Sus scrofa: one gene and its partners. The protein of the gene in region 1 purifies or fractionates together with the protein of each later gene. This does not show direct contact. Links are inferred from orthologs where the notes say so. Each region holds a gene or a part of one and is shown in the gene's direction. Other genes may lie near its edges.

The links.
Region 2: the proteins of STK25 (region 1) and SLMAP purify together in Homo sapiens (affinity purification with mass spectrometry; 5 studies listed by BioGRID and IntAct, with this or other methods). This does not show direct contact. The link is inferred for Sus scrofa from reciprocal best matches to the Homo sapiens genes STK25 and SLMAP.
Region 3: the proteins of STK25 (region 1) and CTTNBP2 purify together in Homo sapiens (affinity purification with mass spectrometry; 3 studies listed by BioGRID and IntAct, with this or other methods). This does not show direct contact. The link is inferred for Sus scrofa from reciprocal best matches to the Homo sapiens genes STK25 and CTTNBP2.
Region 4: the proteins of STK25 (region 1) and CAB39 purify together in Homo sapiens (co-immunoprecipitation; 3 studies listed by BioGRID and IntAct, counting the BioPlex papers as one, with this or other methods). This does not show direct contact. The link is inferred for Sus scrofa from reciprocal best matches to the Homo sapiens genes STK25 and CAB39.
Region 5: the proteins of STK25 (region 1) and PPP2R1B purify together in Homo sapiens (affinity purification with mass spectrometry; 3 studies listed by BioGRID and IntAct, with this or other methods). This does not show direct contact. The link is inferred for Sus scrofa from reciprocal best matches to the Homo sapiens genes STK25 and PPP2R1B.

Annotation. Positions count from the first base shown.
Region 1 is NC_010457.5:140,147,431-140,152,232, reverse strand, and holds part of STK25 (serine/threonine-protein kinase 25), read left to right. Parts: 5' UTR 1-2,623; coding exon 2,624-2,938; intron 2,939-3,442; coding exon 3,443-3,499; intron 3,500-3,948; coding exon 3,949-4,057; intron 4,058-4,644; coding exon 4,645-4,802. UniProt on the Homo sapiens protein: Oxidant stress-activated serine/threonine kinase that may play a role in the response to environmental stress.
Region 2 is NC_010455.5:39,704,532-39,709,333, forward strand, and holds part of SLMAP (sarcolemmal membrane-associated protein), read left to right. Parts: coding exon 1-174; intron 175-1,000; coding exon 1,001-1,118; intron 1,119-4,802. UniProt on the Homo sapiens protein: Associates with the striatin-interacting phosphatase and kinase (STRIPAK) core complex, forming the extended (SIKE1:SLMAP)STRIPAK complex.
Region 3 is NC_010460.4:28,492,784-28,497,585, forward strand, and holds part of CTTNBP2 (cortactin-binding protein 2), read left to right. Parts: exon of another isoform or gene 1-2,329; intron 2,330-2,961; coding exon 2,962-4,618; intron 4,619-4,802. UniProt on the Homo sapiens protein: Regulates the dendritic spine distribution of CTTN/cortactin in hippocampal neurons, and thus controls dendritic spinogenesis and dendritic spine maintenance.
Region 4 is NC_010457.5:131,564,646-131,569,447, forward strand, and holds part of CAB39 (calcium-binding protein 39), read left to right. Parts: intron 1-2,198; coding exon 2,199-2,367; intron 2,368-4,802. UniProt on the Homo sapiens protein: Component of a complex that binds and activates STK11/LKB1. In the complex, required to stabilize the interaction between CAB39/MO25 (CAB39/MO25alpha or CAB39L/MO25beta) and STK11/LKB1.
Region 5 is NC_010451.4:39,511,901-39,516,702, reverse strand, and holds part of PPP2R1B (serine/threonine-protein phosphatase 2A 65 kDa regulatory subunit A beta isoform), read left to right. Parts: intron 1-203; coding exon 204-294; intron 295-956; coding exon 957-1,057; intron 1,058-4,314; coding exon 4,315-4,547; intron 4,548-4,802. UniProt on the Homo sapiens protein: The PR65 subunit of protein phosphatase 2A serves as a scaffolding molecule to coordinate the assembly of the catalytic subunit and a variable regulatory B subunit.

The DNA of each region.
Region 1 (4,802 bases):
AGGAAGCCCCTTTTGTCCTCTGGGGCGGAGAGACTTGGCCTTTGTCAGTGGCAGGAAGCCTGACAGGACATTGTTTTCTCTTGCGAGGGTTGTCACTGTGGCCCTGCGAGGCGGTCCCTGTGTGGGGCAGTGCGGTGAGCTCCCCCACGGCCCGCAGGGGGCCCTCCACTCCTGGCCTCTGCCCGGCTGGTTCCTTGTTCCTACCCTGCCCGCAGGGTCTGGCTGGCTGCAGGAAGCTCATTGGCTGCCACCCATCGTGGGGTGGTTGGGGGCCGTTGGGCACCCCTCATTTTGTGGGGCGATATGACCAGCAGACATACTGCCTGGTAGTGGCCACTGACCTCGCATGCCCAGGGCTGACCAGAGGACAAGGGTCTGGACTGCCAGCAGCCTGAGCCCTTGTCTGAACCACGCCCGTCTCTGGAAGGGGAGTGCAAGGCCAGCTCGGGAGCAGTTGTCCTTCCTTCCTTCCACCAGCTCTGGCCGCAGGTGTCCCTGTGATGTGCCTGTAGGGTCAGGGTCACAGCCAGGAGCGCTCCCGTCATGCTGTCTGCTCAGGAGACTGACCCACAGCAGTGGGGACCCAAAAAGTGTGACGTTGGGACCAGAGCTCCCCCCACTGCTGAGTCTGGAGCCCCTGGTCCAGGGGTCTGCCCAGTTCCCTCAGGAGCCGTGGAGGTCTGGGCACCCAGCTGGGTGTGCCTCTCGTCAAGCCGTTGGGGTGGAGAGTGCAGGCTGCAGTGAGAAGAGGGAGGCCTGAGGGTGGGAGGGGAACCCGGAAAGCCCGAGGAACAGTGCTGCCCGGCCTCGGTCCCACCTCCTCCAGGTCCCCTCTGAGGCCCCCTTGGAAGTAGAGGCACCGTTTCTAGGAGCCCTGGCTGGATGAGCTGGGGGTGGAGGCCCTGCAGGCCAGCACTTAGCTGGGTGCTCAGGGGCCTAGTGAAGGGGACGTGGGGGCACTGGGCCAGGTGGCATTTGGGCCCAGTGCCCAGGGGTTTGGGGGGGTGCAAGCGGGCGGGGGCTGTTTCCTGGTCTCTGTGGGAGGCCGTCTTCATGCTGGTGAGTCTTCATGCTGGTGACAGGCTCGCAGAGTCCTTGAGGCTGGCCACTCAGGGCGGGGCTCTGATCTCGAGGTCCCCACCCCAAAGACAGCTGAGCAGCTGGGACTTTCAGAATATGCGTAGCAGGGGGAGAAAGTGTCCTCACGGGTGGCCTGAGGAACCCAGGTGGCAGCCACCTGGCCCTGTGCTGCACTGGCTGCAGCTTCCGCGGGGGAGGTGCGAGTGGGCACCTTGGCTCTGGCCACCTCATGGAGGCCGGCCCACCATGCCGGGGCCTGGCCCTCGGCCCTCCCTGCTCGCCTGGCCCCGCTGGCTCCCCCTACGAGGCCCTCTTTGGGCTCACGTGGCCCCTCTGTTTCCAGACCTGGGGAGGCAGCTGTTGGCACGTGGGATGTGTGCCGCCTCTGTCCGGAGCCCGCCTGGGGCTGAGCCCAAGGGCTGGCCGTGCCGAGGTCAGTGCGCTGCCCAGGGCTGGGCCCCCTTGGCTCCAGAGCGGTCGGTGCTTCCACAGCAAAGCCAGTTGTGATTTGGCCTTTTTGCTTCTGGCCACTTCAGGTGGTCGCCAAGACACGTCCGGTGACACTGCTGAGGCGTGGGGGCAGCCTCTCTGGAGGGAGGTGTGTCCTGTTGGGTGTGAGGCCTGCAGGGCTTAGAGAGCCCTTTCTGCCCCCATCGGGACTGGACGCCAGGCTCCCCGCCCACCCTTCACAGGCCCTGCCTGGGGCTCCAACCCCATGCAGGTCCCTGGGCTCCAGCCCCTGGGCCACTGCTGGGCCTCTGAGAACATGGCCAGTAGCCTGGCGGAGGGGGTGAGGTGCCCTCAGGGGGCCACTTGGGTGGGGCTGGGGAACACCAAGGGTGGCCCTAGAGGCTCTGGTGTCTTCCACGCAGCCCCCGAGTTGCGCTGTCTCAGCCCCGACCCACTGAGGGTCAAGGTCAAAAGCGGGCTTGTCCCCTGTGGGACCGTCCTGCGTCTTGCCAGGCCCCCTGCACCCACGGCTCAGCCCTGAGGACCAGGGGCGCAGTTTTCCATAAAGGCCAACACCTAGGATCGCCCATCAAGGAGTCATTTCTTAGCTCAGGGTCCTGGTGTGCGGGGGTGGCCGTCCCCAGGACTGACTGGGGGCTTGGAGGGGCCTCTGAGGGGTGTGGCTTCCAGGTGCACAGGGAGGACTCAGTTGGTGTTGTTTAATTGATAGCCTTTATTTTTCAGAGCCGTTGTAGGTTTAAAGGGAAATGAGTGAGCTGGTTCCACCTGTCCATCGCCCCTCCCCCGGGGGTTTGTTACAGTGGGTGACAAGCGTGGACGTGCTGTGACCAAGTCTGCAGCCTGCGAGGCTCGCCCTGGGTGGTGCCAGCACCGTCCAGGTCCCGGTGTTCCCCCGACTCCTCCCTCTGAACCCGTTCCTGGGGGGCACCGGGTCCTCCCCACGCGTGGGGTGTGGGCGGGTCCGGCGTGGCCTGCGTGGCCCCTCTGGCTGCCCCATGGCCCGGACTCTTGGCCAGAGCCGGGCCCCCCCACACCCTCGGGGGGGGTTTTGCCTTTGGCTTCGGGTTTCTCAATGGAAAGGGATCAAAGAAGGAAGGCAGGAAGCCGCGTGAGCTCCCGGCGCTCGGGGTCAGCGCGGCCCGCCCCGTGTCCCCAGCACCCCCGCGTGGACCCCGAGGAGCTCTTCACCAAGCTCGACCGCATCGGCAAGGGCTCGTTCGGCGAGGTGTACAAGGGCATCGACAACCGCACCAAGGAGGTGGTGGCCATCAAGACCATCGACCTGGAGGAGGCCGAGGACGAGATCGAGGACATCCAGCAGGAGATCACGGTGCTCAGCCAGTGCGACAGCCCCTACATCACGCGCTACTTCGGCTCCTACCTGAAGGTGCCTGGGCGGGGGGTGCTTCGGGCGCCCGCCCGTCTGCCCTCCCCTGGGCCTGGTCGGAAGGGCGAGCGGTCCCCACAGGCGAGGGCGGCAGAGCTGGGCCTCCAAGAAATGACAGCCGCCAGGGCCGCGTGTGCCCTGAGGGGGAGCGCGGGTGGGGCGGCGGCAGGTCCCGGCTGGGCTGGCTGTGCCGCCTCCTGCGGCAAGGATGGAGGATGGCCCCAGGCCTGCTGGGCGCACTCGGGGCCCCGCAGCTGGAGCCCGGAGCCCTTCCCCGGGGGCTTGGTGTGCAGGTGCCGGGAGGCGTGCCCGCCGCGCTCCTTCCCCGCCTGCTTGTTGGCGGGTGGTGAGCGTGGTTTGACTGCAGTGTCTGCCGTGCTGTGACGAGAGGGGAGCCAGGCGAGGCTGCGGGGGCCCATTCCTGGGGTTCTCGGGCGGCGGGGTGGTGCACCTGGCCTGTCCCGTGTTTGCTGCCACGTGCTGACCGGCGCTTCTCTGGCCCAGGGCACGAAGCTGTGGATCATCATGGAGTACCTGGGCGGCGGCTCTGCCTTGGACCTGGTGAGGCGCGGGCCACGACAGTGGGCGGCCGCAGGGCTGGGCACGGACTGAGGACGTTGTCTGGGGGCTTGGCTTTGGCGGGCCTGTGGCCGCCTCTCGTTGGCCTTGTGTGTTGGAGGTTCATCAGGACCTGGCTAAGCCAGACGTGCTGCTGCTGCCCACAGTCCTTCCCCCCGGGGGGGGCGCAGGGCCATGCCTGGGCCCTCCTCCTCAGCCGTTACCTTTACAGCCCAGGCCAAGGTGGTGTCTGTTCTCAAAAAACAGCCTGCTCCACACCCATCTGACCTGGCACCCGAAGCTCTGATTTCAAAAGTGGCCCCAGAAATAGGAAGTCCCTCCCACCCACAGGCTCAGCCCACCCCTGCTGGAGAGGAGGCTGAGCCAGGCCTGGGCCCTGGGTCTGGGGTGGCGGGAAGCCCGAGGCCCTGCTGTCTCCTCCATGTCTGCAGCTTAAGCCGGGGCCCCTGGAGGAGACTTACATCGCCACGATCCTGCGGGAGATCCTGAGGGGCCTGGATTACCTGCACTCGGAGCGCAAGATCCACCGAGACATCAAAGGTCCCTCCGGGGCGGGCAGTGGCGGTTCGCTGGGTGGGGCGCGTCACTGGCGGTGCTCAGGGCGCCCTGCCTGTCCTCCCTGTGGCCCTGGGAACTGAGCAGCTCTATCTGGCTCTGTTTCCAGAAGACATTGCCAGTAATGCATAGGACTTGCTTTCCCTGGGAAGCCAGCTCGGCACCTGGTGTAAGCGGGACCCTACTTAGGCCCAAACTGGATGGCTTGCAATCTTGGATCTGAGTGTGAGGGGTGGTTAGAGCAGCTGTGCTGGTGTGCACGGGCCAGGCCACCTCCGAGGGCGAGGTCGAGGGGCTGATGGAAGGTGGCCGGCCGAGCAAGGGGCAGAGTCGGGCTTCCCTCTGCTTCTTGAGCCCTTTGCGGGGCAAGGGCAGTGGCTCTGTTCGTGGGATTTTTCTTGTGAGGTGAACACGGGTGCCCGGGGGCACCTGTGGGGCGGGGGTGGGGGCTCACGCTGCAGGCACCTGCCACTATCCCGTTGCCACGGCTCTGAGGGCGGAGAGCCCTGCTTAGGAGGCCAGGTGGGGCCGTGCGGCACTGAGGTGACTCCCTGCTGTCCTGTGTCGAGCAGCTGCCAATGTGCTGCTCTCGGAGCAGGGCGACGTGAAGCTGGCGGACTTCGGCGTGGCGGGGCAGCTCACGGACACGCAAATCAAGAGGAACACGTTTGTGGGCACCCCCTTCTGGATGGCGCCCGAGGTCATCAAGCAGTCGGCCTATGACTTCAAG
Region 2 (4,802 bases), on another chromosome or scaffold:
ACACTGACATTGCTTCTTTACAAGAAGAGCTTAAGAAGGTGCGAGCTGAGCTTGAGCGGTGGCGGAAAGCAGCATCTGAATATGAGAAAGAGATCACGAGTCTGCAGAATAGTTTTCAGCTTCGATGTCAGCAATGTGAGGACCAACAGAGAGAAGAAGCAACTAGGCTACGAGGTGAGAAATGTATTTTACCTAAAACTCTTAACTCTTGACAATGATAACTTTATATCTTATACAAAATAACCATTCAGGCTAATTTTCTCTTTGATAACAATTGGTTGTATAAAGCAGTGTTTTTGTATTGGGGCTAGAAACATTCCTCAGGTGTATGAGCTCTACAATAAATTGAAAATTTTTCTAATTATACCTTTTACCTAAATACTATTAAAAATTATTTGTCTTATAAAAGTGAAGTGGGTGGATGGACCTAGAGATAATCATACTAAGTGAAGAAAGAGAAAGGCAGATATCATATAGATATCGTTTATATGTGGAATCTAATAAAAAATGATACAAAAGAACTTTTTTACAAAATAGAAGCAGACTCACAGATTTCAAAATCAAACTTACGGTTACCAAAGAGGAAACGTGACAAGGAAGGATAAATTAGGAGTTTGAGATTAATATATATACACTACTATGTATAGAATAGATAACTAACAAGGACCTACTAGTACAGAAGAAGAAAATATACTCAATATTCTGTAATAACCTATATGAGAAAAGAATCTGAGAAACTATAGATATATGTATTAACTGATTGACTTTGCTGTACGCTGAAACTGACACAACATTGTAAGTCAACTATACTCCAATAAAAATTTTTTTTACAAAGTGAAGTGGGGAAAAAAATATTACTGAGGTTCAAGGTGTTGGGAATTTCTCTGAGGTATAACTGCAAAGTAACAGGAATTGAAAAATGGTCATATAAAATATACATTAAGGGGGAAAAAAGTAGTTATGTTCCTATATTAACAGATGTGTTTTGGGACTACTTTAGGTGAACTAGAGAAGTTGAGAAAGGAATGGAATGTATTGGAAACCGAATGCCGTTCTCTAAGAAAGGAAAATGTTTTGCTATCATCAGAACTACAGCGGCAAGAAAAAGAATTGCACAAGTATGCAAGAACTCTTTTTTAGTTTCAGAATATTTCTTTATCTTAAATTTTCATCTAAATTAAATTTAATTTTGATACTTAAATAGGTTTTTGGAACAAAATATTTAGCCAGGCTATTTTTGGCTATTTGGCAGGTTAACTATGTTAAATGACTACATCAGCATTTTTTTCTGCCACCACCATCATCCTACATCCTTTCCTTTTGGTGTACTCATGGAATACAGATTCATTAAATGCCCCTTCTTCCACCCTAAAGCCCTAAACAGACAAACAGCAAAGATCTATATTTAGTGACTGAACTTGCCCTTTAAACTAAATAATAATAAATTGCAAAAACTAAGTTTGTCTTTGTTTCTTGTGAATGATCCCTTCTGTTTATGAGGGTGATCAGAAGATAGCTGTAATAGGAGTTTCCGTCATGGTGCAATGGAAATGTATCCAACTAGGAACCATGAGGTTGCGGGTTCGATCCCTGGTCTTGCTTAGTGGGTTAAGGATCCAGTGTTGCCGTGAACTGTGGTGTAGGTAGCAGACGAGGCTCGGATCTGGGATCTGGCATTTCTGTGGCTGTGGTGTAGGTCAGCAGCTATAGCTCCGATTAGACCTCTACCTAGCCTGGGAACCTCCATATGCCATGGGTATTGCTCTAAAAAGACAAAAAAGAAGAAGAAGATAGCTGTGATAAAGAATTGATACTATTGAAAGATAAAATTCAGCCTTGGAATTTTTTGTTTGTTTTTGGTTTTGGGGTGGTTTTTTTTTTGGAATTTCAAACAGTTATATAAAGAGTGATAATGTATAAGATCAAAAATTCTTTAAAACCAGTTAAATATTTCCAATATCCAGTACCTTAAGGCAAACCAATGAATGCAGTAGATTTATTGCACCAAATTCAATAGAGTCCTATTTTTCATCAGCATTTGTTGTATAGTTTAAAATTTATTTCTTCCTTAAAAATTTGATCCATTACATGTTTTTTAATTTAAGCTCTATTTACATTCTAATCCAGAATATGAAAGTAGTATATGTTTATTATTGAAGCTATTTTTTTTATTCTTTTTTTTTTTTTTCGTTTTTTCTTTTTTTGCTTTGCTTGTTAGAGCTGCACCCACAGCATATGGAGGTTCCCAGGCTAGGGATCTAAATGGAGCTAGTACTGCCAGCCTACAACACAGCCATAGCAACGCTGGATCTGAGCCGTGTCTGCGACCTACACTACAGCTCATGGCAACCCTGGATCCTTAACCTACTGAGTGAGGCCAGGGCTTGAACCCGCAACCTCATGGTTCCTAGTCGGATTTGTTTCTGCTGCACCACTACGGGAACTCCAATTATTGAAGCTATTCTTGATTAATTCATCTCCCCTCCCACAGTACACCAAAAATGGGGTCATTGCTCTCTTGTTAGCTTTGTGTTTATACTCCTAAAGAGCATTAAGGTTAGCAAAAACTCAGTGATCAAGGTCAGTTCCCATAGGAAACAAGCTTTAGGGAAAAAAAGGACTAGACTTATCAACATGAGTTATCAGAAAATAGTAATCTCATTATCTCATAAAAACAGGGACAACTGTAATATTAGTTATATATTTAAAAAATCAAGAACCTGGAGTTCCCGTCATGGCGCAGTGGTTAACGAACCCGACTAGGAACCATGAGGTTGCGGGTTCGGTCCCTGCCCTTGCTCAGTGGGTTAACAATCTGGCGTTGTTGTGAGCTGCGGTGTAGATCGCACATGTGGCTTGGATCCCGTGTTGCTGTGGCTCTGGCGTAGGCTGGTGGCTACAGCTCCGATTGGACCCCTAGGCTGGGAACCTCCATATGCCACGGGAGCGGCCCAAAGAAATAGCAAAAAGACAAAAAAAAAAAAAAAAAAAAAAAAATCAAGAACCAGTTGAAGGAACAAGGTGTGCTGACTTATTCTCTAAAACTCCTTATTATACCATATGTGCTCAATATCAGTATTTTTCAGGCATTTTTTTCTCTTACAATGTCCTGTCTTTCCATAGTCTGTTCTATGTGCATTACTTTTGAATGTTAATTAATAATAGAGAATAAGACAAATGCATGTTTAAAGCAATTTCAGAATATGAATAGGACAAAATAAAGACCTGAAACATAAATAAATAAGTAAATAAATAAATGTGCTCACACAGGCATACACATACACATGTATGTTCTCAAGTTCTTCATATTTGGAATTCATTTGGAGCCATTTAGTTTTGTATTCTATCAAGCCAGAAATACTGATATTTGATTACCAGTATTATCTTACTTTTTTTTTTTTTTTTTTTTTTTTGTGACCACCTCTACGGCGGCATGTAGAAGTTCCCAGGCTACAGATCAAACCCAAGCCACAGTAGTGACAACATCAGGTCCTTAACCCACTCTGCCACCAGGGGACTCCTCTTAAATTATTCTTTTTTGAAATTTTTGATATTTTAGGGGTTCAGACTTGATCCCTTAATTTTGAGATATGATTAATTGGAATCTGGCGATTGTTAAATGTTATTTTTTTAATTCAAGTTTTGTTTAGTTTGTAAAATACTCCTTATGAATTTAAGTCATATGGTTTAAAAATATTAGGCACCAGAAAGGTGAAATATACAAAACATTGATCAAGTTATCTATCTAAATTCACATGACTATTTAAGACATATTAATTCTGTTTTTTAAACTTTTCTGGCTTAATAGTTCTCTAAATTTATTTGTGGAGCACCCCCAGAATATAAGTAGTATTAAGAAGCTAGTCTTCCTTTACAGGGGTCTTACATGCCATTTAGTGCCTAGCCATACTGTCCTGACATTACACTCACACCCTAGGATCTGCCTAGCATCCAGTCAGCATGGGAGTTATACGCTATAGTACTTTGGTTACAATACTGAGACTGAGTCTTATGATCCATCCTAAGAGTGTAAAACTGCCATCTAGATGGGAGCCAAATTCTTCAATGTAGCTACACTATACAGGTCTTTTGTTCTTTATTGTCTAATATTTAGAAGGAAGTGAACAAAGAATTTGTGTTCATGCCTCTCAAGCTGTTTTCCTAGAGTGTAAATCAATTTTTTTTTTTTACATCAAGTTGTAAAAGTAATCATAGAGTTTAAGCTGGAAAAAGGAGTTCCTTTGTGGCACAGTGGGTTAAGAATCAGTGTTGTCACTGCTGTGGTTCGACTTTGATCCCTGGTCAAGAAACTTCCACATGCCGAGGGCGTGGCCAAAACAACAACAAGAAGGAGAAAAAAAAAAAAAAAAAACAGGAGTCCCCGTCGTGGCTCAGTGGTTAATGAATCTGACAAGGAACCAAGAGGTTGCGGGTTTGATCAGTGCCCTTGCTCAGTGGGGTAAGGATCCGGCGTTGCCGTGAGCTGTGGTGTAGGTTGCAGACGTGGCTCGGATCCCGCTTTGCTGTGGCTCTGGCGTAGGCTGGTGGCTACAGCTCCGATTCAACCCCTAGCCTGGGAACCTCCATATGCCACAGGAGTGGCCCAAGAAAATAGCAAAAAGACAAAAAAAGAAAAAAAAAAACATGGAAAACAGCTTGGGTTCAAACTTACTGTTTGACAGTGGAGATCACTAAGACTCTCCTTGTGTTATTTGTGCCTGCAAAATGGTATCTAGGACAGATCTAAGAGCTCAGGAAATGCTTACTCAGAGAATGAAATGTGACCAGTTAGGCGACTTGCT
Region 3 (4,802 bases), on another chromosome or scaffold:
ATGTTTTAGTCATAATGACTCAGCTATCATTTATATTGTACTTTCTCTGTATATAATGTGTCTTTTTCTCTGGTTGCTTTCAAGATTATTTCTTAGCTTTGTTGACAGCAATTTTACTCTGATGTTGTCTAGATATGATTTTCTTTATATTTATTCTGCTTTGGGATTTCTAAGCTTCTTAGATTTGTTGGTTTTTTAACCAAATTTGTGAAATCGGGGGATATTTTTTTCCTTTAATATATTTTTATTCCCCATTTTCTCTTCCCTTTTTGAAAATCCAGGTATGTGGAATTTAATAACGTTGTCTTATAGGTCACGGAAGTGCCTTCACTTTTTCAGTCATTTTTTTCTCTGTTCCACAAACTGGATATTTTCTTTTGTTTTATTTCAAATTCTTCTTTTTTCCCCCTTCTCTTAGCACATTCAGTGAACTTTTAAAAAGTTTTTAGATACTATACTTTTCAGTTCTAGATTTTCCATTTGTTTCTAGTTCTGTGCAGTCACTGTGACTGTATTTTCTTTGAAAAGAGGGGCTTTAAGGTCCTTGTCTGATAATACCAGTATAGGTCATCATTCTTCTTTCTTTATTTATTTTTTTGCACCACAGCATGTGGAAGTTCCCAGGCCAGGGACTGAACCGCGCCATAACAGCAACCCAAGCCACTGCAGTGAACACACCAGACGTTTAACCTGCTGAGCCAAGTCTCAGAGGTGACAGGCGATAATGAAGTTAATTGCTGAAGAAAGTCTGAACTTAAGCAGATGGAAACCTCTTCTCTTAGAGTGACGGGAAGGACGTATGGGTTGGTATGACTATAAAAAAGCCTAAGGGGGCAGACAGGATGCAAAGGGAGAGAGTTGTTCTGAATTTTCTTGATAAGAGTCTAGTAGGGTAGACTGAGAGTGACTTGAGTGGTGACTGGGCGAAGTATTGGGGAGAGTGGCAGAGGCTTAAATATCCCCTGAAGGAGCAAATGGTGGAGGAAACCAAACAGAGTTAGGGAGAATGATTGATGACTGGGGCTCAGAGCTCGGTTGGGTTTGGAGTCACGTGATGTAGGTGCATCAATTATTGTGATTTCCTCTGTGCTCTGCTATCTGCAGTGAGATTAAAAAGACTCGTGTTAGTCTGAGACAGGATTTATAAGGCATGAGTGATGGAAGAACAAAGATACAGGAAACGTATGGGTGCTTTTATAGGAGTATAGTTTTCTGTATGAGATTCTGGGTTTAGTTGAGTTGATATCCTTTCGGAAGTCCTTTAATTTGACCCTGAAGTGTAAGATGAAAGTTAGCATTTCATAAATAAAGTGTGACGACCCATAGGGAAGAACTGCTGTGGGCAGCACATGTGATGCGGTGAGAAAAACTTGAGGCAAGCAGAGCCCTAAATGAGTGCCAGGATCCTGACACTGATTAACTGGATGACATCAGGGAAATCACTAACCTGGCCTTTAGTTAGTTGTTTTGTAAAATGCAAGTAGCCCTTAAATTCTGCAACAACTTTTTCCCACCTTCACGGGTAAATTATGAAAATCATATTTTAAAAATAAGCTGAAAGTTAATTTGTGCTTTTTCCTAGGTTGCTATAAGAACTTGGAGGGGGTAATACAAAACATGTTCAATATTTTCTTAATAGAACTTTCTGTCTGCCTTCCAAACAACCTATTATTTGATGCATTTAGAAGAGTTAAATAGGCTTCAACTCTTAAGTCCAATTTTCTGTGAGGTGTCCAAGTGAATAAAATATAAATCTAGTATAGAATAGCAGAATTGTTCCCCAAATCTTACCTAATCTACTTATGAAGTCACCCACCAAATTTCATATAGTAGATTAGGGGTGGAAGCCTTACTGTGAAGGTGACATTTGAGCAAAGACGTGAAGGAGCCAGGCGCCTGTGCTGTTGGGTATTTTTGTGCATATTAGAAAACCCCATGTGAAGTTATTAAGAGTTTTTTTTTTTTTTTTTTAAGTTCCTTCCCTATGTTAATCAATTAGGCAAATACTGCCTTTGAAAGCCTAAATCCTAGGGGCCTGTACCATGGTGAGCCTTTTTGTGAAGGAAAAGGTGCCCTTGTTTTCAGGCAGATGCAGCCCCAGGCCTGGGCAGACAGCGTGGGGAGTAGACAGGGTTGGGCTAACCCACTCCTAACCCTCTCAACCCCACAGCCAGTCACCTTCATGCAGTGCGCAAACCGCTTCATGCAGGAGCCCTATGTGACAGGTCGTGGTGGCATTTCTAGGCGGAGAGAGTAGCAGGATCCAAGACTCTGAGGCAGGGTGATGTTAAAGAAACGCCAGGAAGACCGTGTCCTGGGAGCTGAGTGAGTAAGTGGGATGGAAGGGAGGAGATGAGGTAAGACGTGGGGGTTCACTGATACTGATTATATTTTTTATAAGACATTTCTTATATATAAGTTCAAAGAAGTTTCACATATGCTTTTACATGATTTTTATAGCAACTTACCATAAACTCAAAGAAGATTTCTTGAAAAGCTAAGTAATAAGTACAGTTTAAACTTTAACCGAAATCTTCTGTTTTCATTATATAGTATCTCAGAGTAATAATTTTAAGGCATTAATCCTTAAAAAAAAAAAAAAAAAAAAAAAAAGCCCACACCAGTTCCCTAATAGAGTTCTGTTTTTACAAAAGCAGACCTTTCTGAACTCTTTTGTTGTGATTTGAACCATCAGATTACTGTTCTTTTATGTGGTTAACTTTAATACATTAGAAAATTCTCTGTTGCTGTAGATGTTTTTCATAAAACCACTTAACGTCTATTTTCTCATTTTAATGAGCCTCTACAATGTCTGTCATATCACAACACATTTCAGAAATGTGGCAGTTTAGGTAACCCAAACCACGTAATTATTTAAAAATTAAGGAAAATCTCTCCACTTCTTGGGCAAAAAAAAAGCTTCTGCCTGCTAATCAGAGCTGTCCTGTGAATTTCTTTCAGCTGGAGATGGAAAAGCTTCAGCTCCAAGCCCTTGAACAAGAGCACAAGAAGCTGGCCGCCCGCCTGGAGGAGGAGCGAGGCAAAAACAAGCATGTGGTCCTGATGCTGGTCAAGGAGTGCAAGCAGCTCTCAGGCAGAGTCATAGAGGAGGCCCAGAAGCTGGAAGAGGTGATGGCCAAACTGGAAGAGGAGAAGAAAAAGATGAGTGTGTTAGAAGAGGAACTCTCTGCCGAGAAACAAAGAAGCACAGAAATGGAAGCTCAGATGGAAAAACAGCTCTCAGAGTTTGACACGGAGCGGGAACAGCTTCGTGCCAAGCTGCACCGAGAGGAAGCACACACCACTGACCTCAAAGAGGAGATAGACAAGATGAAGAAGATGATTGAGCAACTAAAAAGGGGAAATGACAGCAAACCCAGCCTCTCTCTTCCCCGGAAGACCAAAGATAGACGTCTGGTCTCCATATCTGTGGGAACAGAAGGACCGATGACAAGATCTGTTGCTTGCCAGACAGACCTAGTAACAGAAAATGCTGACCCCTTGAAGAAGCTGCCTTTGACGGTGCCTGTAAAGCCTGCCGCGGGGAGCCCCTTAGTTTCCGCAAATGCTAAAGGGAATGTGTCCGCAGGTGCCGCCCTGGTCAGACCAGGTATCGACAGGCAGGCTTCCCATGGTGACTTGATTGGCTCTTCTCTGCCTGTGGCCCCACCTCCAAGTACAACCAGAATTGAGGAAAATGGACCGAGCACTGGCTCAACATCAGATTTAGCAAGTAACCCATCCCCACTCCCCAGTAACGCCGCCCCACCCACTGTGCACACGCCAGGCCCAGCTCCCCAGGGTTGCTCACCAGCCCAGCCTCCACACAGTTTACATTCCCCGTGTGCCGGTGCGCCTCTGCATCCAGGTCTGAACCCGCGCATCCAGGCGGCGCGATTTAGATTTCAGGGTAATGCTAATGACCCAGACCAGAATGGGAACACAACCCAAAGCCCTCCGTCCAGAGATGTCTCTCCTACAAGTCGTGACAACGTAGTGGCCAAACAGCTAGCTCGGAATACCGTGACCCAAGCACTATCAAGATTTACAAGCCCTCCAGCGGGAGCTCCCCCAAGGCCTGGAGCACCCCCCACGGGGGACGCTGGCACCTACCCCCTGGTTGGTCGGACCAGTTTAAAGACTTCTGGTGTAGGACGAGTTGACAGAGGAAACCCGCCTCCCATCCCTCCAAAAAAGCCAGGGCTCTCCCAAACTCCTTCTCCACCACACCCCCAGCTCAAGGTTATCATGGATAGCAGCAGGGCCCCCAGTGCAGGGGCCAAGGTTGATAACAAAACTGTGGCTTCGCCTCCTTCCACTTTGCCACAAGGGATCAGGGTAATAAATGAGGAGAACCTCCCTAAATCTTCCTCCCCTCAGCTGCCACCAAAACCATCCATAGATTTAACTGTGGCACCTGCAGGCTGTGCCGTTTCAGCCCTGGCCACGTCTCAGGTGGGTGCCTGGCCTGCTGAAACCCCTGGACTGAACCAACCTGCATGTTCAGAAAGTTCCCTTGTCATTCCCACCACCATTGCCTTTTGCTCTTCCATAAACCCAATTAGTGCCTCATCCTGTAGAGCAGGTGCCTCAGACAGCCTCCTGGTAACAGCATCAGGTAAAGGGATTGGAATATTGTACCCTTCTTTAAGAATGTGGCCTGTCCTCCTATCCTCTCACTTGCCTCCTTTCCTTCACATCGCATTGAAACTTTTTTTTTTTTAATTTGGTACTTTTTTCCCCCTATTTCTTTCTTCTCTTTTTTTGTGTCTTTCTTTAAAGGCTCCAGGGTATGGTGATTC
Region 4 (4,802 bases), about 8.6 Mb from region 1:
ACAGCGTCACTGTTTGCCTTGTACTCGTTGGTTTACGGTTTAATCATTTAAGACAAACTTGACAAACTGCCATCAAAACCTGCCCAGCTTGTTGTACCAAGGTGCCTTACTCTTGTCCTTCTAGTCTCCTAGCCTGTTTCAGATCAGCAAAGATGAATTGTCTCATCAGCCCTTTTGTGAGCGGACACTTCATCACCTAAGAGCCGGCCAGCATGGCAGCTGCCATGCCGTAGTGACATGAGGAACGCCGCTCTGGTCTTGCGAGGCTCTGTGACGACCATGTGTGCAACCAAAGAGTAATGCTAAGTAACACTCCTGTAGGATTTCAGGCGATAAAATGTGGGTTTAACCAATAAGGCAAGGGTTGGTTACAGCGATGGTTGGATTTAGGATTGAGGCTCCAGATAGTTAGAAGTGGCTTAGGCCAAAAAAAAAAAAGAGTAAGTACAAGGCAGGAATGGACACGGTGACTGGCAACAATAAGGGGGTAATCGGGGTGTTTTGCGGGCTAGTGGGAGATGGTGCCCACCCAGAGGAGGAGGTAGGATGCGCAGAGGCCTGGGCATTAAAGCCCAGACGTTTGTCTGTCTGATTAGCAAGAAGAAATTGTTTGAAGCTCCTAAGCTGGAGAGGTTATTGCTGTACTTGTGCTTCAAGTAAATGTGTTAAGACAGAACAAAGAGGCGGGTTGGGGGGCACTTGCTTGACCAGATGTGACTTCATGCAGCAGTGAGAACAGATAAAAGGAAATGAAACTGAGGTATTTCAAAGCGGTATTAAGAAGGAGTGGTGACACCGAAGGTGGGAAGAGGGGAGTAGATGGAGGATAAAGAGGCGAAGGGTTAGAACTGCGCTGTCCAATCCAGACCCTGCTAATAACACGCAGTTATTTAATCTTAAACTCGATTAAGTAGCTTCTGAAATTCAGTCCCTCAGTCACACGAGCCAAGTCCCAAGTGCTTAGTAGGCAGCACAGATTCAGAACATTTCCATTATCAAGGAAAGTTCTCTTAGACCTGTTTAGACCCAGGCACCTGAAACAAAACAGTGATGCCAAATTAGACACGGCAGGTTTACGGGAGGCCTTTAACTGAAGGTGCCCGGAAGCGGCAACAGAAAATGCTCGGCTCCAGCTGAGGGGAGATCTGCGCAGGGGCCATCTGGGGGCTGTGGTGGGAACCCCGAGGGCGTGTGGAGGCCGCAGAGGAGAGACCTCAGCCAGGCAAGACGTGGGAACCCAGCAAGTGGGAAAGTGGGGCCGGGGGAGAGTGGTTCTTTCTTTAAAGAGGGCGAGGCAGCGATCTGCATTGTCCGGAGGCCGAGTGGCAGGATTCCCGTCCTGAGACACGACTGTTTTAGCCACGAGGAGGTCTTCCTTCACTGGTAGAATGGTAGGAAGGAGTCTGATGACGGGAAACGAGGCGACACGGTGAGAGACGAAACCTGTGCGTGCGCTTGAAGGGAAGTGGAGGCACCGGGCGACGCGTTGGAGCAGAATGGCAGGGTCCGGCCCAAGAGGTTTGGGCATCCGGACGGAGAGGGTTTCTGGGCCGAAAGAAGTACAGGATTTTCGGTGTGATCCCAGGGGAGGAGGAGGCGAGAGCGTAGAGGTGGGCGCAGAGGAGGGCTGCGTGGGGAGGGCCCTCGCCTTGGGCTTTCAGCTTCGCGGCGCTTGCGTGTTGCCAGGAATCTTGAAAGTACTATTTTGAGCCTTGAATTGAAACAATGAGGTATGCAGTGATGTATATTTAAAGTATGAATGCTGTTTATGTATAGGTCTATCAGATAGACCTGTTTAGCTACTATGAGTTTAGGAAACTATTTTGTTTCCTATTGATTTTGATTCAGCTGTTAGTTTTTCTGCAGTGTTGAGAGCACCATGTGTAAAACTAAACCCGATTTGGACGTCTGACCCTGAATAGTTCTCTTAGCTTAAATCCGGAGCTTTTATTCACACGATCCCTCTCGACTGTTCCTTTTCCTTGGGTTGAAGCAGCCACCACCAACTGCCCTGTGTGTGCCCTCTGATTAAAGCCCTCCGAGCACCTATTCTGCTCTGAGAGAGATGCATTTTGTCACCTGCTCTGGCCACTTAGGACACGTCTGAAACTTCCTTTTCTGAAAATCAGAACCGTTCCGTGTTAGAGTTTCTTTTTTAAAAATGAAAAAGCAATTATGTTTGTCTTTTCTTTTTGCAGGTATGAATCTCCAGAAATAGCTCTAAATTGTGGGATAATGTTAAGAGAGTGCATCAGACATGAACCACTTGCAAAAATCATTTTGTGGTCAGAACAGTTTTATGATTTCTTCAGATATGTTGAAATGTCAACATTTGACATAGCTTCAGATGCATTTGCCACATTCAAGGTAACAGAAACTAGAATTCTAACTATAGACTTTATTCCTAAACCTCCTCTGTCCTCCAAGTCTGTACACGGCTGCCCTCTAGTGGGAGAGAGCAGATATATTTTACATGTGTTCGTGTGACTCGGGTATTTGCAGTAGAGTCACAGCTTAAAAGGTTGGAAAAGTTAAGATTCTAAAGTCTGTCTAAAAGACAGAAGTCCTCTATGGTCAAAAGTACACTGTTCTGTTAAATTTCTTATCAAGGACAATATACAGATATGCAGTATATATAAAAATCAGATTTTTCTTCTGTGTTGGAATATGCTGTGGCAGTTTCTTTGGTTAAACGCCAGACAGAGTAGTTGGCCTTTCTGTTCAGGGCCGGGTTACTTTGGAGTATACATGTTTAAATACTAGAACCACATTCAGGACAGAGACTTCCGTATTGTGGCCAGGCCCCAGGGCCCAGTGGCCTTACCTCCCCCATGTCAAGCTCAGGCCAGAGCTTATCTATTACACATGGAGGGGCGGGGGGTGCAGAGTCACTGGCACTGTTCCTCCCTGCCCTGCCTACCTGATCTCCCTGTTGTATGTTTGTATCAATTAAATACACCTATGATATGATAGCACTGTACAAGCTACACATTTGTGGTTTTGAATGCCAGGGGTCTGTGCTGTTTAAGGTATGTAAATCAGTAATCTTTATTAGTGTTTTTCACAATGAAAGCAAGCCTTTACATGTTACATTCCCTTATTTAAAATATCTGACCTCACAAGCAAATACTTTGAACTGCACTTTTTATATAATCAGAATATAATACACTAACCTGCAGACCACTGTGCTCAGAAACCACAAACACTGTTAGAGTAAGAAGTGGCCAGTTTTCTTGTGAGGGTCCAGTTTTGTATAAAGAGTCACTGAGATAATGAGTACACGCCTTGGTCTCTGAATAAAATTTATCCCTTAGGGCAAATGAACACCCTTAAAATAGAACAAAAGCCTGGGGACCTGGCTGTTGGGGTCTCCCATTGAATGGGAATGAGATGATAACACGAGAGGTGCCTCGGGGTTATTAGAGAGGATGTCAGAAGGCCTCAGGAAGACCTCAGAGCTTTGAATGTTAATTATGAAGCAGAATGAAATGAATTGGGGATCATAACGCAGTGGTAAATATGACGTCTTAGGTGTCACTGCTCTTGGTGGGACTTGTGACCGGGATCTATTGACGGGGGGTGTGCCCCATTCAAAAGCAGCAGACTCGTTCTGGAGGGAGGTGGAGCAGCAGCACACGTTGGGAAGGGATACTCCCGGGTGGCAGGAAAGCCAGAAGCCTGAGCGTGGGACACCGGGAGCAGGAGGCCGAGGGCAGAGGAGTGGCAGTGGTGTTGAGAGAATGCAGCCAGGCCGCCTGACCAGGTGAAGGGCGCAGATGACAAGCTCCTGGCACAGATGGCAAAACTGGCCAAGAGGCGAGGGGGATGTGCAAATTACATGCCGGAAGTGTGATTCGAGGTGTCTGACAGCCCTCACTGGCCTTGCCGATCATTTCATCTCAGTTAAGCTGCTTCTTTGAATGAAAGTCTCACCAAGAAGAAAATGATGGTGGCAGGATCACTGTGGGCGAAGCAACCCTGTCAGGTCACGGGAGCCAGAGAGGGGAAGACTGGGCACAGCCAGGCGGTATTCTCTGCCCAAGAAAGGGAAATGTTGAAAACCGTAGGATGCTGAGGATGAGCTCTAGAAAGAGCAGCGAGGAGCGGTCTTGGCTTCTGTATCTCAGCCGCTCCTGATGACTGGGAAGGAGCGAGCCAGTTAAAGAGGCCCCTGAACAGAGAGCTCTCCAAGCAGCACAATTAGGTAGATCCCCAAACTAAGACAGCATAGCAGAGGCACAGGCCTATCAAACAGACTGAAGACGCTGCCTCCCAGCCCTCCCTTCAAAGTCTGGGCAGCGTGGGGAGAAAGAAGGACCAGAGGTGCTGACAGGGAGGGGAGGAGGTCCACTCCTCCTCTGGGGTGCGGGGTCCTTTTTGAAGAGAATCTGTGTATAATGCGAAAGAACAGATCCTTGGTTCATGCTCTCCTTTGAGAATGTGACCAGAGCTGCCTTCCGATAAAATGCACTCTGCACCTTCAGACAAATGCGGCTCGTCCATAACCCTGGATTTAATGTCCAAGGAACAGATGCTGAATCCTAAAAGGAGGTTAAAACTGCCTGCTCAAAATACATCCGGGACTCAGAGCTTGAGTGAATACTATTTACTGAGAGTAAATCAGTGGCCAAACACTTGTTCACGATTTTTTGTTTGTTTTGAAGAATTAAGGCGATGAGGAGGGGGCATCGGAAGGCCAACAAATATATTTCCAATTTTCCAGAGTAAGAGAAGGTAGATTCCCCAGAGAGGCTGGTGGAGCTTGGAGCTTGATGTTATACCTGTGTAAGGTGCTAGAAAGT
Region 5 (4,802 bases), on another chromosome or scaffold:
CTTTTATTCTTTAATGGGCCTCACAGAGTGTTTCTTCTGAGAAGTTGTCCTTTGCCTAATGAAGGCTTGTTCCACTGTTTTGAGGTTCTTAGAATAAAAACCTAAATTGAAGTCTTCATTCTCACCTGTATGTCATAACTCACCTGTTTGCAATTATTGTCTTTTGCTCAATATCACACCTGCTTCTCCTTTCTTTTTTAAAGCTCCGTCTCAACAGTATTAAGAAATTATCAACAATTGCTCTAGCACTTGGAGTAGAAAGAACGCGAACTGAACTGCTGCCATTCCTTACAGGTATGTGACTCTTTGAAGAAAGGCATGGGCATTTCTATTTTCTAGTGGCTTTCAAAACTTTCACTTTTTTTTTTTGTCTTTTGTCTTTTTAGGGATGCACCCGTGGCACATGGAGGTTCCCAGACTAGGGGTCTATTCGGAGCTGTAGCTGCCAGCCTATACCACAGCAATGCCAGATCCCAGCCACATCTGCAGTCTGCACCACAGCTCGCAGCAAAGCCAGATCCTTAACCCGCTGAGCCAGGCCAGGGATCGAACTTGCAGCATCATGGTTCCTAGTCGGATTCGTTTCCCCTGTGCCATGATGGGAACTCCAAAACGTTCACTGTTTTTTAAAGAATTTGTTACTCACATCATTAGTAAGTACTAAACTGAGCCTGATGCTTTCAATGCAGAAGAAACAGGACAGAGCATATTGTAATGTTGTGGCCAGACATATTCAGACATTAACTTTTAGTTCATAGAAAGTAATTGTTATTGGATTATGAACTTCTTATCCTGTAAAATAGATCCATGAAGACTCTTGACTGAGAAGGAAAAAAGGCTGTCAGGATTGTGACAGGACCATCTAGTTACATGTTGAGTCTATTCCTAGTTTTGTGTGAGTGTCCAATTGAACTAGATCTCCTTGTTGATGGGTACTGGGTTGTTGTCATTTCTAGATACAATTTATGATGAAGATGAAGTACTCTTAGCTCTTGCTGAGCAGCTGGGAAATTTCACTGGCCTGGTCGGAGGTCCTGACTTTGCCCACTGTTTGCTGGTGAGTATATTCTGTCTACTGCCTTTCTAGAACTTTTGCAGTATAAATGATACATTGGCGATAGGCACACTGCAACATTTTTTATGCAGATCTTTTTATGGATAGTCAGTGTTAGCTATTGAGAGCCAGTTATGTAGGCACTTTGGATTCAGTTAACTCTTATTTTTTTCTGACTATGAATATAAGAACTTCTTCCTCTTTTCTGCCTCTAGACTTATTTGTTATTAGAGATTGGGAGAAAAAGAATTTGATTGTTTTTGTTTATGTTTTTTTCTCCCTGATATTAGAAATCTTAATTCTCATCTAGTAATATTATGGCTTTGGAAACATTCATTAGTTTTGTCCTTAACTGTAAGCGTAACTTTTGCTTCTGACTTAACTGTGAATTTGATGAGTTCAGTTTAATGTAGTTGACAGTTGAGAACCTATCATATCAGGCACTGAAGTTATAGCATTAAATGGTAAAGAAGAACGCTGAATGGAAAGAAGTCTCTGTCCTTATGTGTCAACAAATAATTACTGTGCGGTATTAGATGGAAAAATTTGAAACACATACAAGGTACCCAAGTAATAGAAAAGAGAAAGGGATTAACCGGGGGTGATCAGGGAAGACCTTTTGGGAGAGAATGTCTGAATTAGGTTTTGAAGGATGTCTAGGAATTTGACAGTTGGACAGGCTAGGGATCTATATGTCAGTGCTTAATTGTTTTCTGTATTATATTGCTGACTCTTGTGGGTTTTGTCTCTGCCTCTGACCTCTCCATGGAACTCCAGATAGACATAGAGAAAGACAGATATAGATCTATGTTTATCTCCTTATATATCTGTGTATGACTTCTCCAGCTGGATGTCAAATAGACATTTCCAATTTAATTTATCTAAAACAGAACTCAGTTTTCTCCCCCAATATGCCTCCTAATTGTTGCCTCATGGCAGTAAATGGCATCACCATCTACCTAGTTGGACAAACTAAAGCCTAGAAGACATTCTTGAATTCTCTCTCTCTCATTTCCCACATCTAAATCCATTAGTAACTCCTGTAGATTCTATATGTATTACGTATCAATCCATTTTCCTCCATCCCTACCACTGCCTAGCTCATCATTCCTCTAATCTTTCCAGACGACATCATCTTTCCTCTAGGTTACTGCAGTAACTCTCTAACTAGTTGCCTTCCACTCATGCCTCCCATCCATCACTACAGTGCACTCTTCACCTAGCAGGTGGATCACTCACTTCCTGCCATGGTTTTCAGAAAGTCCAAATTTCTGTCTTAACTTGTACCTTAGCTTACAAAATTTGCCTCTATGAGCTTATATCATGTTTCCTCTAGATATCCTCATTCCATTCACAATGGTCTGCTTTCTGTTCTTGGAATAAACCAAGTTTATTACTTTAATATTTTTGCTGTAGGTGTTCTCTCTAGTAAAATATTCCTTTGAGCTTCCTGTGGCTGGCTCCTAGTCTTTCAGATATCAATTTTAATGCATCTCAGAGAGGCCTTTCCTGACCACTTAACCTGAAATTGCCTCCCGGTCACCCCTTATCATATCATCCTCTTCTGTTTCTTTACAGGTAACTCCAATACCATATAATTCTTTTTCTTTCTTTTTCTTTTTTTTTTTTTTTTTGGTCTTTTTTTCCTCCCCTTTTCTAGGGCTGCTTCCCATGGCATATGGAGGTTCCCAGGCTAGGGGTCAAATTGGAGCTGTAGCCGCTGGCTTACACCACAGCCACAGGAATGCCACATCTGAGCCGCATCTGTGACCTACACCACAGCTCATGGCAGTGCCGGATCCTTAACCCACTGAGCAAGGCCAGGGATCGAACCCACAACCCCATGGTTCCTAGTCGGATTCGTTACCCACTGCGCCATGATGGGAACTCCTATCATTATTTTTCTTGATTTTTCTTCCTTCATTAGAATGTAAACCCCACTAGAGCAAGGAGATTGGGTCCTTGTTTCTTCTCTGTCCTCTGTGCTAGAATACAACAATAATTATCATTTCAAAAGATGGAGTTTAAGAGCCTTGGAAGCATGGAACCACTTGGGTTGTGGGAATATGAAGTGTTGGTGCTGGAGTAGGTGGAAATGGTGGGTGATTGGGGGCCATAGGAAAAAGGCATGGGGAAATAGAATTCAAATCAAGAAACAAAACTTGCATGTGATTCTCAGGAGCTTGCCCTTATCCTGATGTAGTGATAGAGATTATCCAATGGTATTGCATGAGAGGAGGTCAGAGAAGGCAGGGGAGAGATCATGATAGGCGTTTGCAAGTAAGCAAGCAATGTCTTTTCAAAGGGCTTCTGAAATACCTCTTAGGAAAGCTGACTACTTTCTACCTCTGTGTGTCACATAATTTTTGAAATATATTATTATTCGTGCTTCTTTCATTTGGCTCATACTTCTGTTTCACTCTCTTGGTCAGTTCTACGTGTGGGTTTTGTCTTTAACATTTGCACCTTGTGGCGAATGTGGAATCTACCTGTACCAAGTGCAAACCCAGAAAGGCAAAGGTTCAGAGAACCAGCCTGCTGTTGCTTTTCACTGGACCAGGTCATTCACTCTCTGATCCTAGTCCAGACCACCCCTTTGGTCTCTTTCATTTCTAAAGCTGCAAGCAAGGTTTCCTGCTGTCTCTGTACTCTTCATTTAATTGTTCTTTCAGCAACTCCCACTCTGTCTAGCTCATGAAAAGATTCTGAATATATTCTGAAAAAAGTGATTTTGTACTCAGCCCTTTATAGCTTGGATAAGTTGATTGTGTGGAGCTGGTGGACAAGGGTAGCTTCCGCCTCCAGGAATGGTGGAGTCATACTCCAAAGCTGTGGGCGCAGTGTCCTGGCGAGATGTCATCATGTGATTGTGGTGCCCAGTGTGGGTCATGGTTTTGCACTTACTCTTGGGGAAGTATACACGATCCTGTCTGAATTTGGATACGTATCTTTTAAATCTAATGATTCAGCTCACAGTAACATTAATATTGTGTCAAGTTTCTTCCACTGTGTCATTTGTAGACACCATCTGGGAATTGCCATCTGGGACACGAGATCTTGGCTGTCCTACAGAAGTCGTGTCTTCAGGTTGGACACACCATATGTTATCACTGTGTGAACTGAAAGTAACCATTTGGTGTGATGTAGCTAACATTCTGGTTACATGTACCACCTCCCTTCAGTCACTTTAAAGCTGATAATCTGTACCTAACCTGATTTAATACGTTTTCTTCTCTGGTTTTTCGTTTTGGTCTATTCAGCCTCCTCTGGAAAGTCTGGCGACCGTGGAAGAAACTGTGGTTCGGGACAAAGCCGTGGAGTCCCTGCGGCAGATCTCCCAGGAGCACACTCCTGTCGCTCTGGAAGCTCACTTTGTACCTCTGGTGAAACGCCTGGCGAGTGGGGATTGGTTCACTTCTCGCACATCTGCATGTGGTTTGTTCAGCGTTTGCTATCCCAGGGCTTCCAATGCTGTCAAAGCAGAAATTAGACAGTAAGATATGGTGTTTTTTGTTACTTGGGGCTATTGGGAGCTCATAGCTGACAAGTTCCATAGCACCCTGTTAACAGTGTGTGGCTGATATCAGGGTAGATGGATTGATGACATCACTTTTTGTTTGTACCAGTGGGTTTTTCTTTACTTCTATGAGTAGAGGCCTAATCCCTGATGTTTGTAAGAGAAGACTAAAATTTCTCTCTGTGTTAGGGGATCAGTGGCATTTGACAGGAAATACCTTCATTATTTTAT